Linked DNA regions of Cricetulus griseus. The protein of the gene in region 4 purifies or fractionates together with the protein of the main gene of each other region. This does not show direct contact. Links are inferred from orthologs where the notes say so. Each region holds a gene or a part of one and is shown on either strand. Other genes may lie near its edges.

What was found.
Region 1: the proteins of Med24 (region 4) and Med9 purify together in Homo sapiens (affinity purification with mass spectrometry; 5 studies listed by BioGRID and IntAct, with this or other methods). This does not show direct contact. The link is inferred for Cricetulus griseus from reciprocal best matches to the Homo sapiens genes MED24 and MED9.
Region 2: the proteins of Med24 (region 4) and Cdk19 purify together in Homo sapiens (affinity purification with mass spectrometry; 6 studies listed by BioGRID and IntAct, counting the BioPlex papers as one, with this or other methods). This does not show direct contact. The link is inferred for Cricetulus griseus from reciprocal best matches to the Homo sapiens genes MED24 and CDK19.
Region 3: the proteins of Med24 (region 4) and Cdk8 purify together in Homo sapiens (affinity purification with mass spectrometry; 13 studies listed by BioGRID and IntAct, counting the BioPlex papers as one, with this or other methods). This does not show direct contact. The link is inferred for Cricetulus griseus from reciprocal best matches to the Homo sapiens genes MED24 and CDK8.

Annotation. Positions count from the first base shown.
Region 1 is NC_048600.1:74,064,800-74,068,897, forward strand, and holds the start of Med9 (mediator of RNA polymerase II transcription subunit 9), read left to right. Parts: upstream 1-1,296; 5' UTR 1,297-1,332; coding exon 1,333-1,544; intron 1,545-4,098.
Region 2 is NC_048595.1:262,901,107-262,905,178, forward strand, and holds the start of Cdk19 (cyclin-dependent kinase 19), read left to right. Parts: upstream 1-1,240; 5' UTR 1,241-1,493; coding exon 1,494-1,621; intron 1,622-4,072.
Region 3 is NC_048597.1:82,215,019-82,218,160, forward strand, and holds part of Cdk8 (cyclin-dependent kinase 8), read left to right. Parts: intron 1-1,698; coding exon 1,699-1,796; intron 1,797-2,465; coding exon 2,466-2,544; intron 2,545-2,687; coding exon 2,688-2,846; intron 2,847-3,142.
Region 4 is NC_048600.1:111,788,114-111,791,862, reverse strand, and holds the end of Med24 (mediator of RNA polymerase II transcription subunit 24), read left to right. Parts: coding exon 1-203; intron 204-457; coding exon 458-639; intron 640-862; coding exon 863-953; intron 954-1,299; coding exon 1,300-1,399; intron 1,400-2,187; coding exon 2,188-2,268; intron 2,269-2,571; coding exon 2,572-2,837; 3' UTR 2,838-3,185; downstream 3,186-3,749. UniProt on the Homo sapiens protein: Component of the Mediator complex, a coactivator involved in the regulated transcription of nearly all RNA polymerase II-dependent genes.

The DNA.
Region 1 (4,098 bases), about 38 Mb from region 4:
TATGTCCTGAACCCTGCTTCCCCTTTGGGTGACTAGCTCATCATGTTATATTGTGAAGTTGTGTTCCCACCAATGGGATGGAATGCAGTCACCATCTAAGTAAGAGGTAAAGGCAGTGGGCATTTTAATGAGTATTTTTGCTCTCTTGGTTTGGGTTCTGGTACACTCACTTTTCAAAAGGAAATCACTTTGTCAAATTTCACTTTGTCTGTGTTCCTTTATGCAACACTGCAATCATTCTTTTCCCAACACTTTCTCCACTTCTTCTGTTTGGGACACTCTCTGCAGCTCAGAAGAAAACAATCCTGAGACCCATAACTAAAAACCTCAAAACACCTCCAATATTCCATTTCTGAAGATCTGGCTCCAAATGCCCTTCCCAAGGCAGCTGAAGTCAGCAACATCCCTGCTCCACTTGGGATTTGCCACTGTGAACTTCACATTCCTGTTCCTTTTTTCATGACTTATTTTTTACTTTATGTTCACTGGTGTTTGCCTGAATGTATGCCTGAGGGTATCAGAGCCCCTGGAACTGGAGTTACAGACATGTGTGAGCTGCCTTGTGAGTGATGGGAACCAAACCAGAGTCTTCTGGAAGAGCACTGAGCACTCTTAAGCACTGAGACGTCTCTCCAGCCCCTTCCTGTTCCTTTTTGAGCTCTTTGCCTCTCTTTACTGGCATGGGGGTTGAATAAGGACAGATGGCCTCTCCCAGTTGACAGCTTTCCTAATTTCTTGTCTAGAAATTTATAATACAGCTTCCATGTCATATTTTCCTTGGGAAAACATAATATCTATCAGAAGTCCCCCGCTTTTGCTTATACACATAAGTATATGGCACCTGCTAGATGCAGACTAAATGCTTGAAGAACGGTTAATTTTTCCCTCGGCAGCCATGTGGAACCTCGGCAGACAATGTGTTTGTATGGTGTGTTTTGCTGTCGCCAGTCAGGGGCCCTCCTGGAGGCTGGCAAGACACAAAGAAGCGTAGGTCCTTGTCATCAGGATGCTCGCTGCCTCAGAGCCCCATTTTCACACGGCGCTCACCGGCGTCATCCGTTCTTCCTGCCAGTCCCAGGGCGGGGACTGGCGGGGGGGGGGTCCTTGTTGGTGTTTTGACCCTTCTCTGTCATGCGAACTAGAAAAAGATGACTGAAATAGGTCCCCTACTCCTGACTGCTTAATTTAGCCGTCTGGATACCAGTCGCCTAGCAACACTTGCCCGCCTACGCCCAGCGCGCAGGCTCAGACCCTTTCCCCACCCGGCCTCCCGGGCGCACATCTGTGACGTAAGCATCCAGCGACTCTCGGCAGTACCGCACGCCTGGTACCATGGCTTCCTCCGGGGTGACCGGTGGGAGACAGGCCGAAGATACACTGCAGCCACCGCCCGAGCTGCTGCCGGAGTCCAAGCCGCTGCCGCCGCCTCAGCCTCTACCGGTCGCCGCGCTCCCGCCGCCGCCGGCTCCGCGCCCTCAGTCCCCCGCAGGCGGGAAGGAGGAGAATTACTCCTTTTTGCCGTTGGTTCACAATGTCATCAAATGGTAAGGGCCTAGGAGAGGTCAAGACACCAACTTTCCCGGCCTCTGGTGTTGCTGGTTCGGTCCGAGCAGCGGAAGCCAGCGCGCTCTGAGCCACGCCCCATTTTCCCAGAGGAGCCGCACAGTCGCCTTTTGAGTTCAGCCACCTCCCAGGCCTTGAGAGTTACACTGTGCATCCAGGTGAAGCTCACATACTGAGCAAATTCACAGGTTCTACGGTGCACTCCTCTTGTTCGCATCCCAGACCCCTCAGCGTCTTTGGGATGGGTCTCAAGTCCTTACACATATAGTCTGATGGCAACTTTTGTTTTGTTTTGTTTTTCGAGACAAGGTTTCTCTGTAGCTTTGCAGGCTGTCCTGGAACTCACTCAGACCAGGCTGGCCTTGAACTCACAGAGATCCACTTGCCTCTGCCTCCCGAGTGCTGGGATTAAAGGCATGAGCCACCACCACCTGGCTAAAGGCAATTGTTTTATTTTTCTTCCAGACAGTGTTTCTTCCCTGTGTAACAGCCCTAGCTGTCCTGGAACTTGCTTTGTAGAAGCAAGCCTAGAATTCAGAGATCGCCTACTTCTGCCTCCCGAGTGCTGGAATTAAAGGTGTATGCCACCCCTCCCGGCTACCTAAAGGCAATTTTATACAATTGACTGTTCATATGAAGCCTAGTGTGGGATTTTCCATTTGTAGCATTATGTGGTCCCCTTAAGAGTTTTCGAATATTTGTGGATTTTAGATGTGAGATTCTCACCTTGAACACAGTTCCCGTTTCAATACTAGGCAGTATCTTTACTTGTGTGGCACTGTTAAGTACTGTGGATGAACACTGGAAAGGAACCATCAGTTTACCATCACAGTAAGAAGCAGAGCAGAGAAAAACAAACATAATAGTCTATGATTTTTACAACTGGAGAGGGGTGGAGTGATGCTAGAAAACATTTGAAACAAAGACACGGAAGTTGCTCCAAATGATTATGTCCCACCCAGTATTAACTTTCAACAGAATATCCAAGGATGTGGGTGTTACCTTTCTGACCCAGAGTCTCCAGTCTCCAATCTGGCTTACATTTTTTTGTTGTTGTTGTTATTTCCATATACAGTTGTGTCACTTCCAAGAGGTGACTTGTCCTGCAAACATTCTCATCTCAAGTGTGCTTTGATAAACTTAGGTGGTGCAGGACAGTTACTCCATGGGGCCTCTTGGTGCTGTCAGGATTCTTGGTAACAGCAAGAGAGTGTTGGATGGCTTGGTGGGTGAGACTACTTGCTTGCTGTGAAAGCAAGACAATCTGAGCCTGAATCCCCAGCATCCACATAAAAAGCCACTCATGGCTGCTCATACTTGTAGCCCAGCATTTCAGGGTAGAGACAAACAGATCTTGAGAGCTCTGGCCAGCCAGCCTGGCTGAAACCGAACTTCCATTCATCATGTGACCTTGTCTCAAAGCAATAAGGTGAAGAGCAACAGAAAAAGACAACCTACCTTAGCACGACTGCCTGCACACTCAGCAGGCATTCACAGACACAAATAGCAACCCCAACGCACATATAAGGCATACCACACATACATAATAAACAAAAAAGAGTCTTGGCAGCATGGGACGTATGAAAGTTGCTGCTGGTATATTAAGACATTCTGTTAAAAGGGGGGTTTTAATTATATATTTGTTTGTTTGAGAACAGGGTTTTTGCTACAAAGCCCACACTGCCTTTGACCTTTTGATCCTCTTATCGCAGCTTCCTGAGTACTGGGGCTACAGGCGTGTACCATTACACCTAGCAACTGTGAATCTCTTAGTAGGAAGGAGTGTGCTTTAAAATCATAGTAAAAAGTTCATTATAGTAAATGCATAAACTAGTGACATCACTATTTATATCCTTATCAAGCATTAGGCACTACCTGTAATTGTATATGCTATACTTTCATATATCTGGCAAAATTATTGTGGGTTTTTTTTCACAATAGTGTAAGTGATGCATTCTGATGCAGTGTTACCACAGCTACTGTGTCACTAGGCAAAGGAAGGTTTTGGTTACATTATAACCATTAGACTATTACTGTATATATGATCTGGCATTGACCAGGTTATTCAGTGCTGACTGTATAGCTATAGGACAGTAGGTGCAAACCCCTGAACTTGTAACTTCTGCTAAACCATTAAATACTAAAAATAAATTAAGACAAGATTACAATTCCAGTTGGGCGGTGGTGGTGGTGGTTTCGCACACCTTTAATCCCAGCTCTCTGGGAGACAGAGGCAGGCAGATCTCTGTGAGTTCGAGACCAACCTGGTCTACATGAGCTAGTTCCAGGACAGCCTCCAAAGCTACAGAGAAACCCTGTCTCGAACACCCCCCCCCCAAAAAAAGATTACAATTTCAGCCATGTTTATGAACATTGGCATGCCCTTTGATGTTTCACTGATATGGAATTGCCATTTGGCTTAAAAAAAAATCTTAATAGCAGGGGCTGGAGAAGATGGCTCAGAGGTTAATAGCACTGGCTGCTATTCCAGAGGTCCTGAGTTCAATTTCCAGCAACCACATGGTGGCTTACAAC
Region 2 (4,072 bases), on a different chromosome or scaffold from region 4:
GCCTCCCCAACAATAATGTTGTCTACGAATAGCTAAGCTGCCTTACTGATAAAGATACCCTATAAAATTTCTCTTACAAATTTAACATTCTCTTTACAAAAAATGTTCCCTTATATTTTATTTTGGGTAGTGGAAGGGAGCTGAAACTCGTGTGTTGGATGGATCTCCATTTCTTTTAGTTTAAAAATAATCAACACGCAGAGGGACACATTTTTAGCGTGGCACTTTCTAGGCTCTTACATATTTTGAGCCGACGTGTCCTGAGCCCCAGACATCAAAACGAATCAAAGTCATGATTAAGATAAATTTCTTAAAACCCCTAGGTGAGTCTCACTATTATGCATATACTGTAAAAACGCTTTACAACCCAGCAAAAATGATTGTTTTTAAAACGCTGCATTTTCCAATCTTCCAGGCACTTTAATTGTTCTCAGACAGATGGTTAAAGCTCGGCTACCGCACCCCGCATATGCTAGGATAAAACCCGACTGGAGCGCCAAGAAAAAGATAATTGGCTGTGGGCCCGAGAAGTTACACGGTTCCCCTAGCAAGAGCTGGGAAACCGCTGAATGTTCAGGTTTTGAAATACGGTTTTTGCATCGTAAAGAAAAAAGACTAACCTATCAGGAAGAACCGAGCACATCCAATTACCAATCAAGAGCGGGAAAGAAGCCAAAGCCGGAGATACCCATGCACCCACGAGGACGTCATTCTTCAGCCTCTGCCAATAAGCCGCGGCCAGGGGCGGGGCAACGGGAGGATCAATTGCCCAAGAAAACAAACAATGTGTAGTACAACTGTCGAAACCCCGGTCCTCGGCTCCGGATGCCCCGGAATGAGCTCCGGCACTAGGCGCTCGTGAGGTGCTTCCAGCTCCCTTCGCCCAGGGACAGCCAGAGCCGGTTATCTCCTTTCCAGCAGAGCAAAGGCTTCCCTCCCACAAGCTCCCACGGGCTTGCAGAAAGCTCGCTGCAACTTCGCGCTATAGTTTACGGGAACAGCGAGTCGCGGGCTACCTGAGGGGGTGGGGCGGAGACTGTGCGCAGGCGTTTTTGCCTTGTGGAGGCGTGGCCGAAATGGCCCAAGGAACCCTGGGAACTGTATTCCTTACCTCCGAGGAACTAGCACGGTTCCCGAGGCCTGTTAAACCACATTTCCCAGGATCCCCCGCCACCTCGGGGCGGGCCGCTTGGCTTGTTAATGAGTTCGAGAAAGCCGCGGCGCGGCCCACCAGGTTCCAAAACAAGGAAATGAAGGGGGGAGGCGGGACTGTGGGTGCCTGCGGGAGCCTCCGCCGCCGCCGCGGAGGAGGAGGAGGCGGAGGAGGTGGCTGCCTCGGCCGCCGAGGAGTCCCTTGCTGAAGGCGGACTGCGGAGCGGCGGGCGGCGCGCGCGCGCCCGAGCGGCGGCTGTTGGAGAAGTGGAGCGGCGGCGGCGGAGGGACTGAGTGGCGGCGGCCCCCGCGTCCCGGTTTCTCTATGGGGGAAGCAGACAATGGATTATGATTTCAAGGCGAAGCTGGCGGCGGAGCGGGAGCGGGTGGAGGATCTGTTTGAGTACGAAGGGTGCAAAGTGGGACGCGGCACCTATGGGCACGTCTACAAGGCGAGGCGGAAAGATGGGTAAGAGCGCGGGCGGGGGAGTGGGCTCGTCCGGTCCCCGCCGCTGGGAGACCCGCAGGGCTGGGTGGGTCGGAGCCCACGGGGCGAGGTGGCGTGGGTCGCGGAGCGGCGTCCCGGGGGCGAGCCGGAGGCACTCGTGCTGCCGCCCCCCGCTGGCCGGTCGCGCCCCTCCAAGTCGCTCGGCGCAGCCCCGTCGGGGGGCGTCGGTCCCGCCGCGAGTCGCCGCTGCGTGCTTACAGCGGGCGACGACCTGGTGGAGACCGCGCCTGGAGGTGGAGTTTGGAGGTCTGGTCCCCGGGGACTCGGAGAGGTCTGGGAGGGCTTGGCTGAAGAGTTACCGCTATGGCCCTGTGCTGGTGACGGTCGTGGAAGAACTTCCCAATCGGCGCAGCGCCTTCCCGGGGCGGCGGTTTGAAAGCTCGCGGGGGCGCCGCCCGTGTGGCGGCAGCGCGCTGAGGGTCCTGGCGGGCCCCTGGGGTCTGACTCTGGATGCTGCCAACCCAGTCTGCATCCCTGATTGCTCACCTGCTCCCGATTCCACATGCTAACATTCTGAGTTTAGCACTCTGAAGGTGGACCCTGGAGAGATTAAATGTTAGTGTTCTTTGGTGCCTACCTTTTCTTCCTCTTGGCTATCTTGGGTACCGCCTACCCCCCCCCCCTTTTTTTTTTTTAAGACAGGGTCTCTGCTCTCCTGGCTGGCCTGGAACTCAGAGATCCGCCTGCCTCTGCCTCTCAGGTACTGTGATTAAGGACATGTGCTACCCCCCTTTTTTTTCTTCAGGAAGAAATATTGAGTATTATATCCTCCATTTCCCATCCTCTTGTCAAATGGCTGCGTGCTTTGGTTGTGTTTATCGAAAACCTAGACCATCAAGAACAGAAAACGGAGTGACAGACCCAGGCCTGAACCACCGGTTCTTAGGAGTTGAGGGAATTTATAGGAATCTCTTGGGGAGCATTATTTGATTGTTATATTAATAATAATGCATCGAGAATGTCTTCTTTGGGCCAGAGCAGGACGGATGGAACCCGCTTCTGGCCTAGGAATGGTGGGTTTTAAAGCCGGTTGTTTCCTTGGTCCCATCCTGGAAGGAATTCCTTTTTGCTAGGTTCTGGAACTTGGAAAGAAAGTCTCCAACCGACCCTAAGGAGTGTCAGACTATACAAAAGAGAGTTTTTAGGATCGTGTTGGAGCATTTTTGATAAGCAGATTGTCACCACACTTTAGATTTGAAGTGCTACTTAGGGTTCCTTCTTGCACTGCTGTAATTTGATTGGCTGGGTGACGGAACTCCAGCATCAAAGTAGTATGTGCTGATTTTATTGTAAGAGGAAAAACAAAACACATCGTGTGAAGTGTTTCATATACAGTGCTCTGAAAATTACAAGAACTGTCCAGGTTTCAAGGATGATGATTACTGTTGTAGGTACAACTGTAGAGGTCAAGTTACTCAGTTGAAGGAGTTGTTTCTTTTAATTACCATGTGTCCTTGAGGGCTCTCCTGGGGCTATAGGTGCTGTAATCGAGTTGTGCTTTGTTTTTGGAGTATCCACAGTACTTTTTAAATTGGTATTCCAGTGGGAGTCTTTACAGGGATGATTGGGGAAAGCAAATCCATTGCTACTATTGGACATTGTTGTTATAAAATAACCGAGGTGGATCCCCTCTCTCCCCAAGCTAACTTTGTAGTACACTTCATCTAGAATTTAAAAAAAAAAGTTTTAAATTTGAAATATTTTTATTTTGCCTGGAAACTGAGAGAAGTTAAAAATAATTCTGCTTCTGAATTGAATTGAATGGCTGGGCTTGCAACAAAACATAGTGCCTTGTTCTGTTTGTTTCCCAGTGTGTCTCTCTAATAAAGATCTTGATTCAAATACACTTTTTCCTTGAGTGAAACTGGTAAATTAGAGTAAATAAAATAAAGTCAACTTTTGTATTTTCAAAGTAGATTTTAAAAACAACAGCAACCCCCCCCCCCAAAAAAAAAAACCCCAAAAACCAAAAAAACAAAATCCATTTAGAGCCAGAGGCAGAGGCAGGCTGATCTCTCTGAGTTTGAAGTCAACTGGGTCTACAATTCCAGGACAGCTAGGGCAACACAGAGAAACCTTGTCTTGAGAAACAAAACCAAACAACAAAAACTCAAAACCAAACAGACAACCTCCCCAACCCCAAAACCAAAGAAAACCCCGCTTAGAATATGGGTTGCACGCCACATAAACTGGCCTTGATTTAATCCCAACATTTAGGAAGTGGAGCCAGGCAGACCAGAGGTTCAAGGCCATACTTGGCTATACACAAGTTCCAGCCAGTCTGGGGTATGTGAGGCCCTGTCTCAAAAAAAGTGGAACATAAAAGTTTATAGTGACAAGTCTGAGGCAATATTTTTTCTAGTTAGGAATACTTATAATAAAGGAATATTGTTAAAAATTTCTTTTCATTAA
Region 3 (3,142 bases), on a different chromosome or scaffold from region 4:
AGGTTGATCCCTAATTGTCTGAGAAATTGCTGTACTGATTTCCACAGTGGCTGTACAAGTTTGAACTCCACCAGCAGTGGAGGAGTATTCCCCTTTCTCCACATCTTCTCCAGCATAAGCTGTCATTGGTGTTTTTGATCTTAGACATTCTGATCAGTATAAGATGGAGTATCAGAGAGGTTTTGATTTGCATTTCCCTGATGGCTAAGGGATGTTGAGCAGTTCCTTAAGAGTCTTTTCGCCATTTGAGATTGTTTTGTTGAAAATTCTCTGTTTAAATCTGTATCTCCCCCCCCCCCCATTTTGGTTTTTTTGAGACAGCGTTTCCCTGTGGCTTTGGAGGCTGTCCTGGAACTAGCTCTTGTAGACCAGGCTGGTCTTGAACTCACAGAGATCCGCCTGCTGTACCCCATTTTTAAATTGGATTCAGCCCTCTGTCACATGTAGGGTTGGTGAAGATATTTTCCCATTCTGTAGGCTGCCGTTTTGTTTTGTTTACTGTGTCCTTTGCTTTACAGAAGCTTCTCAGTTTCAGGAGATCCCATTTATTAATTGTTGCTCTCAGTGTTTGTGCTGTTTGTGTTATATTTAGGAAGTGGTCTCCTGTGTTAGTGCATTCAAGGCTAGTTCCCATTTTCTCTTCTGTGAGGTTCAGTGTGTATGAATTTATGTTGAGGTCTTTGATCCATGATCCATTTGGACTTGAGTTTTGTGTATGGCGACAATTAGGCTTTAGGAACAGGGCTCAGCTCTCTGTCAGGCTTTGGGAACAGAGCTCAGCTCTCTGTCAGGCTGTGGGAACAGGGCTCAGCTCTCTGTCAGACTCTGGGAACAGGGCTCAGGCTCAGCTCTCAGTTTAAAAAAAAATCCTTGCAACACTTGTGTGGCACACTGAAGTTTGCAGAAGATCGGAACTTGTTATATCACATTAGGAACAAACATTGCCAGAAGGTATTTAACCCAGAAGTGCTGCGTTTCCATACTAGTGTGGTATCTCTGGATGTAGCAAGGATGAGCTCAGTGTACTACATTACTCACACTTACAGTGTGCTCTCTTTATTAAGAACTATCACAAATGCTGAACCATATATTTCTTTAATACTAAAACAAGCTATGATAGTTTGTACTATTTTTATTCTCTATCTAGACAGATATGGTTACAAAGAGGGGAACTGACCTGCCAGGTACTCTCAACCAGTAAATTTTGAGTCAGGGTTTGGACTAAACAGTTGAGTAGGGTAGCCTCTAGCTCCATGCACCTCTTGAGTACTTGATTACCTGGTATAGCTGTGAGAATTATTTTTTTTAATTATAATGCAGTTTTGCTGAATTTGGACACAAATCTAACTGCTGTGGCTTGTGCGTTGTTTATATTACAACACTTTCTCCTGTTAAAAGAAAAGCAACAGGAAATGCAAGTTTGGTCATTCTAAATTGTGTGGATAATGAAGGGACAAAGCACTGGGGAGGAGGGTCAGAAGGTGTTAAGTGTAGTCACCAGGAGATGATTGTGTGTGCTGTTGCATTAATAATTGTATCTTGTTACTGATAATTTGAGAGAATAAAAACCATTCATGTTGTAGTGTTAGCTTTTAGAAGCATGCCACCCCTCATGGGTACTGACATATAAGCTTAGGGATAGTGCACTAATGTTTTTGTGGGAGCATGCACTGATAATTCTGTGACTTGTGATTTCAGCTTCAGAAGTTGCTCACTATGGACCCAATAAAGCGAATTACCTCAGAGCAGGCCATGCAGGACCCCTACTTCCTAGAAGACCCACTTCCCACATCAGAGTAAGTGGTGGATTTGCTGACTTCCTGAATGCTGGCATCTTTAAGTGCTCTTCCTCTTAGTTGGCACACTAAGTTGCCATGCCTCTGAGGGATTGCACTTGGGCTCTGGTGTTCCTAAATAAACTCATGTTCTCTCTCTTTTTTTTTTTTTAAAGATCGATTTATTCATTTATTCATTTATTTATTTAGCATGTGTGCAGAACACTGCAGGTATGTCTGCATGCCAGAAGAGGGCACCAGATCTCACTACAGATGGTTGTGAGCTACCATGTGGTTGCTGGGGATTGAACTCAGGATCTTTGGAAGAGCAGGCAGTGCTCTTAACCACTGAGCCATCTCTCCAGCCCCCTCATGTTCTCTTTACTTTCTTTGTTTTAACTGGAGAAGGGCAGACAAACACTGAGCAGTGGTAAATACTTTGTACCAATGAGAGCTGTCCTGTTTGGTGATTATTGATTATGATTACACAGTGAAGAACCTTCCAACCACCTGCTGCAGTATCATTGGTTAAAGGATTTTTTGTATCAGATTTGCATGAAAGATGCTTTTATCTCTAGCTATGGAGACCAAGTCCTGTCTTCTTAAAACGTGACAGTGAGTCACCTAAGTGAAACCTGGGAAATAACAGGCATCATGTGATAGAGCTCTTTTCTTTCCTCTTGTGAATAGTGTTTTTGCCGGTTGTCAGATCCCTTACCCCAAACGAGAATTTTTAACAGAAGAAGAACCTGATGACAAAGGAGACAAAGTAAGTATTAAATTACAGTCGGCAGTGCCTTCCTTGTGGCCACCTCTGTGACCTTTGGGATGTGGCCACTTCTGTGACCTTTGGGATGTGGCTACCTTTGGTTCTCCTTCTGAGTTGAACTATTTTCTGTTTAACCAATTGAGAAGAACCAGCAGCAGCAGCAGGGCAATAACCACACTAACGGAACTGGCCATCCGGGGAACCAGGACAGCGGCCACGCACAGGGGCCCCCCTTGAAAAAAGTGAGAGTTGTCCCTCCTACCACTACCTCAGGTGGACTCATCATGACCTCCGACTATCAGGTATTACAAGTGTCTCGTACTGACCTGCTGTTCTGGGGCTTCTAAAGGATCTGTTGCAAAGTGTGGTCTATAGTAGATTGGTCTACCTGTCAAAATATATCAGCATAGAATATTACAGGTATGGAAGACTACAGAGATGGAGAGTAGAAAGGGATCCAACTTCTGAACAGACTTGGAATAGAAAGTCCAAGGTCAGCAATCCAGTAACTTGAGACCTCTGTGGTATATCACAAAGTATCTACTGCAGCTGGGAGGCAGTGCAGCAAGCAAAGCACTCCCACATGAGCATTCAGACT
Region 4 (3,749 bases):
CACAGATCAAGTTTCCATCCACGGGCGTGGACACAATGCCCTACTGGAACCTGCTTCCTCCCAAGCGCCCCATCAAGGAGGTACTGACAGACATCTTTGCCAAGGTGCTGGAGAGGGGCTGGGTGGACAGCCGCTCCATCCATATCCTAGACACCCTGCTGCGCATGGGCGGCGTCTACTGGTTCTGCAACAACCTGATTAAGGTACTGGGGCCAGGGTGGATGTGGACAGCTATGTAGATTGGGGCCATGGGTGTCCTCAGTTGGGGTAGGCCAGGCTTCTTTGGGAGGTTGCTGGAAGCTGGGTGGTCTCCGGGGGAGACAGAGGTAGGGACCTCACCTCAGAGAAGCACCTTCGGTTGGAGTTGGATAGCACCTTTGACTGTAGAGTGGCTGGAGCATGAGAGCCCTAGGGCCCAGGTGTGCAGTGCCTTAGCCGCTGCTTGCCCACTGCCCAGGAGCTGCTGAAGGAGACTCGCAAGGAACACACACTGAGGGCAGTACAGCTACTCTACTCCATCTTCTGCCTGGACTTGCCGCAGGTGACCCTGGTCTTGCTGGGCCACATCCTGCCCGGTCTGCTTACTGACTCCTCCAAGTGGCACAGCCTCATGGACCCTCCTGGCACTGCACTAGCCAAGTAGGATTCTCTCCAGAGCCTTCCTGGTGTCTGCTCCCCTTGAGTCCCAAGAATCTACCACCCAGATTCAGGCACCCCAGCCCTGGTGCCAGCTCAGGAAGCCAGGCTGTGGTTGGGGGGCCCGCTGAGTGGTGGTGGGTGGGAGGGGCTTGTTCAGCATGAGCACACATAGCCTCTTTTGGGACTCTCTTAACTATTCTTTTTTCTTGGAACCCTTCACCAGACTAGCTGTGTGGTGCGCCCTGAGTTCTTATTCCTCTCAAAAGGGACAGGCAGCTTCCCGCCACAAGAAGAGACACAGGGAAGACATTGAGGTAGGTCTGCCACCGCCTTGGTTGTGTGTTTATTCATGAGATGCTTCCTGATCACTTAGAGCAGAGAGCTGCCTTCCCAGGGTGGGGGTGGGGTTGAGGTCCCCTGTGTGTGGGCCTTTTTGATTGGTCAGGGTCTGGGGGAGTGGCTTGAGTGGCCCCTGAGTATCCTTGATGAGGGTCCTTTCTGCCCACTAGGGCAGAGATTGGAGTGTGGGAAGGGCCACCACTGGGGATGCTGGCCAGGGACTAGGAAACTCACTCCTCTCCACTCAGATCTCACCTCCAGCCCTCTCCAGTCCTTGGAGACTTGGGAGGTTGGGTGTGTGACAGTGACTCCTGCCCCCAGGACTATATCAGCCTCTTCCCCGTGGAAGACATGCAGCCTTCGAAGCTGATGCGACTCCTGAGCACCAATGAGGATGATGCCAACATTCTGTCGAGTCCCAGTGAGCACTTGGGAGGTCACGGGCTTGCTAGGACCATTTGTCCCTAAGGACCTGCCTTGGCTCCCAGCTGATGGCTGTCAGCCAGTGTGGTGTGGCAGCAGCTTCCACGTCTGTCCCTAGTGGATGCTCTGCTGCCTGCTGGTGGGGACCTGAAGTTCTCCTCCAGGGGCCCTCCCAGTCCCACAGTTATCCCTCTCTTGTCACCAGTTGAAAGATGACAAGACACCCAGTGAGTTCACTACCTTGGTACAGCTTGTACCATTCACTCACTCACTCTGCCATCCTTCTAACCCAGAGACATGCCCTGTGGCTGAGAACAGGCCCTGTCAGGTTGCGACCTGGGGCTGCACTCCTGCCTTCCTATCCAGAGGGCAGCCCATGTCATCCTTTCCTTCTGCCAAAAGTTTTTTTGTGTGGCATCCAAGTTTCCTGTTTCCAGAGATCTCTTCTGAGCCTAGAAGTTTTCTCTGTAGCCTTATAAGGGACCAGGCCACAGCCACAGCCTTGTGTGAAAGAAAGCTGCTGGCAGACCACCTCTGACCTTAGCCAGGCTCTAAGCAAACAGATTGTACGTCTGTAAAATGGGCTTTGAGTGGGACAGGTGGCTTCAGCCACACAGAGTGCCAGGGTTAGCCTCGGTTGGTGCGCAGAGGCTTGTTCCCACTCATCTACTCTCCAGATTCAGGCTCTTCTGTGCCCCGTACGTGCCAGACTCCCCTGATGGCAGGGGACAGGTAAGGCTCCCCTAGAGTCAGAGCTTACGCAGCACCCTCTCTGCCACTCCACAGCTGACCGTTCCATGAACAGCTCCCTCTCGGCTTCCCAACTCCACACAGTCAACATGAGGGACCCTCTGAACAGAGTCCTGGGTGAGTCCTCCCAGCCGTGCCTACCTGCAGACTGAGCTACACGGGCCCCTCCTCGTCAGAGGCAGGGCCACGCCTGCCAGAGGGATCCTCTGGGCCCTGACATCCTGTTCCGCTTCCATGTGCTGTCCTGTTCCCTTACCACCGCTAACAGCCTCCCTTTACTCCATCCCCCATCCCCCGCCCCACCTTCCCTCCCTGGCCTTCCTATGTGAGCTCTCACTGCCTCTTCCTTTCCCTCCTCGGTCCCCTTCTTTCTCGTCTGACTTGTTCTAGAGCTCTGCTGTCTTGTTCCCTTCTGCACAGCCAACCTGTTCCTGCTCATTTCCTCCATCCTGGGCTCCCGCACCGCCGGCCCCCACACCCAGTTTGTGCAGTGGTTCATGGAGGAGTGTGTCGACTGCCTGGAGCAGGACAGCAGGGGCAGCATTCTGCAGTTCATGCCCTTTGCCACTGTGTCGGAACTAGTAAAGGTGTCTGCCATGTCCAGCCCCAAGGTAGTGCTGGCCATCACAGACCTCACCCTGCCCCTCGGTCGGCAAGTGGCTGCCAAAGCCATCGCTGCACTCTGAGGAGCTTGGAGTAGCCTGGACGGGGTCCCAGCCCCAGCATCCCAGCAGGGGGAGTGAGGATGAGCCCAGGCTGCCCCATCCAGTGGTGCAAGGATGCTTCTCCAGTCTGAGGCCCTCACCCACTCCTGCCCTCTACTTACTATGCCTGTTCCTTCTGTGGTTTTCTGTCCTTTCCACCAGTACCCAAAGACTGCGAGTGGTCCCGATGGTTGCCCCAATTCTTGCAGTAGCTGAACTCCAAGGAGGGACTTTATAGGGCCACAGTGTATATATAAGTTTATTTTTATAACTCAGGAGGGGGAGTCCCTCTTGCTTTGTTTGTAAATAAAGATCCTTGTAGCTATTGAATGCTGTTGGTAGCTTTGCTGGATGACTGGGGACAGTATCTTTTCCCTGCAAGTCTCTTGTGCTGTGGCCAGGGAAGGGCACAGTCCTGTGGTGGGGGAGGAGGTGTGGAAGGCCAGGCTCGTTTTTCACAGGCCCCCACTGAAAGTGGAAAGGTCTGTGAAAGCCCTGTACTGTGCTGTGCAGGGCAGGATGGCTTGCTCTTTAGTCACACTCCACCCTCTGGCCCAGAGTTCACTGTGTGTTCCAGAAGATTGTTGGAGGGATGAGGATGAGGACTCTGTTCTCCACACTCTACAGGTCCAGGGACATGGATCTGTGAGGCTGTGGGAAGGGAAATTGTCAAGGGGGCTTTGAGAAGCCAGTGGTATGGAGGGCTGTGGAGGACGGTGCCTAGGTTGGCCTGGTTGGGCAGCTCTGACCCACAGGGAGCCTGCAGCTGACTTTCAACTGCAAGTGCTCTTCATGGCCACATCCCACCCTTGCAGACATCTTCAGCTCAGGAGCGGAGCCAAGCAGGGAAGTGCTCCCAAGGATGATAGCAAGGAGATAGAGCTCATTAAGGGA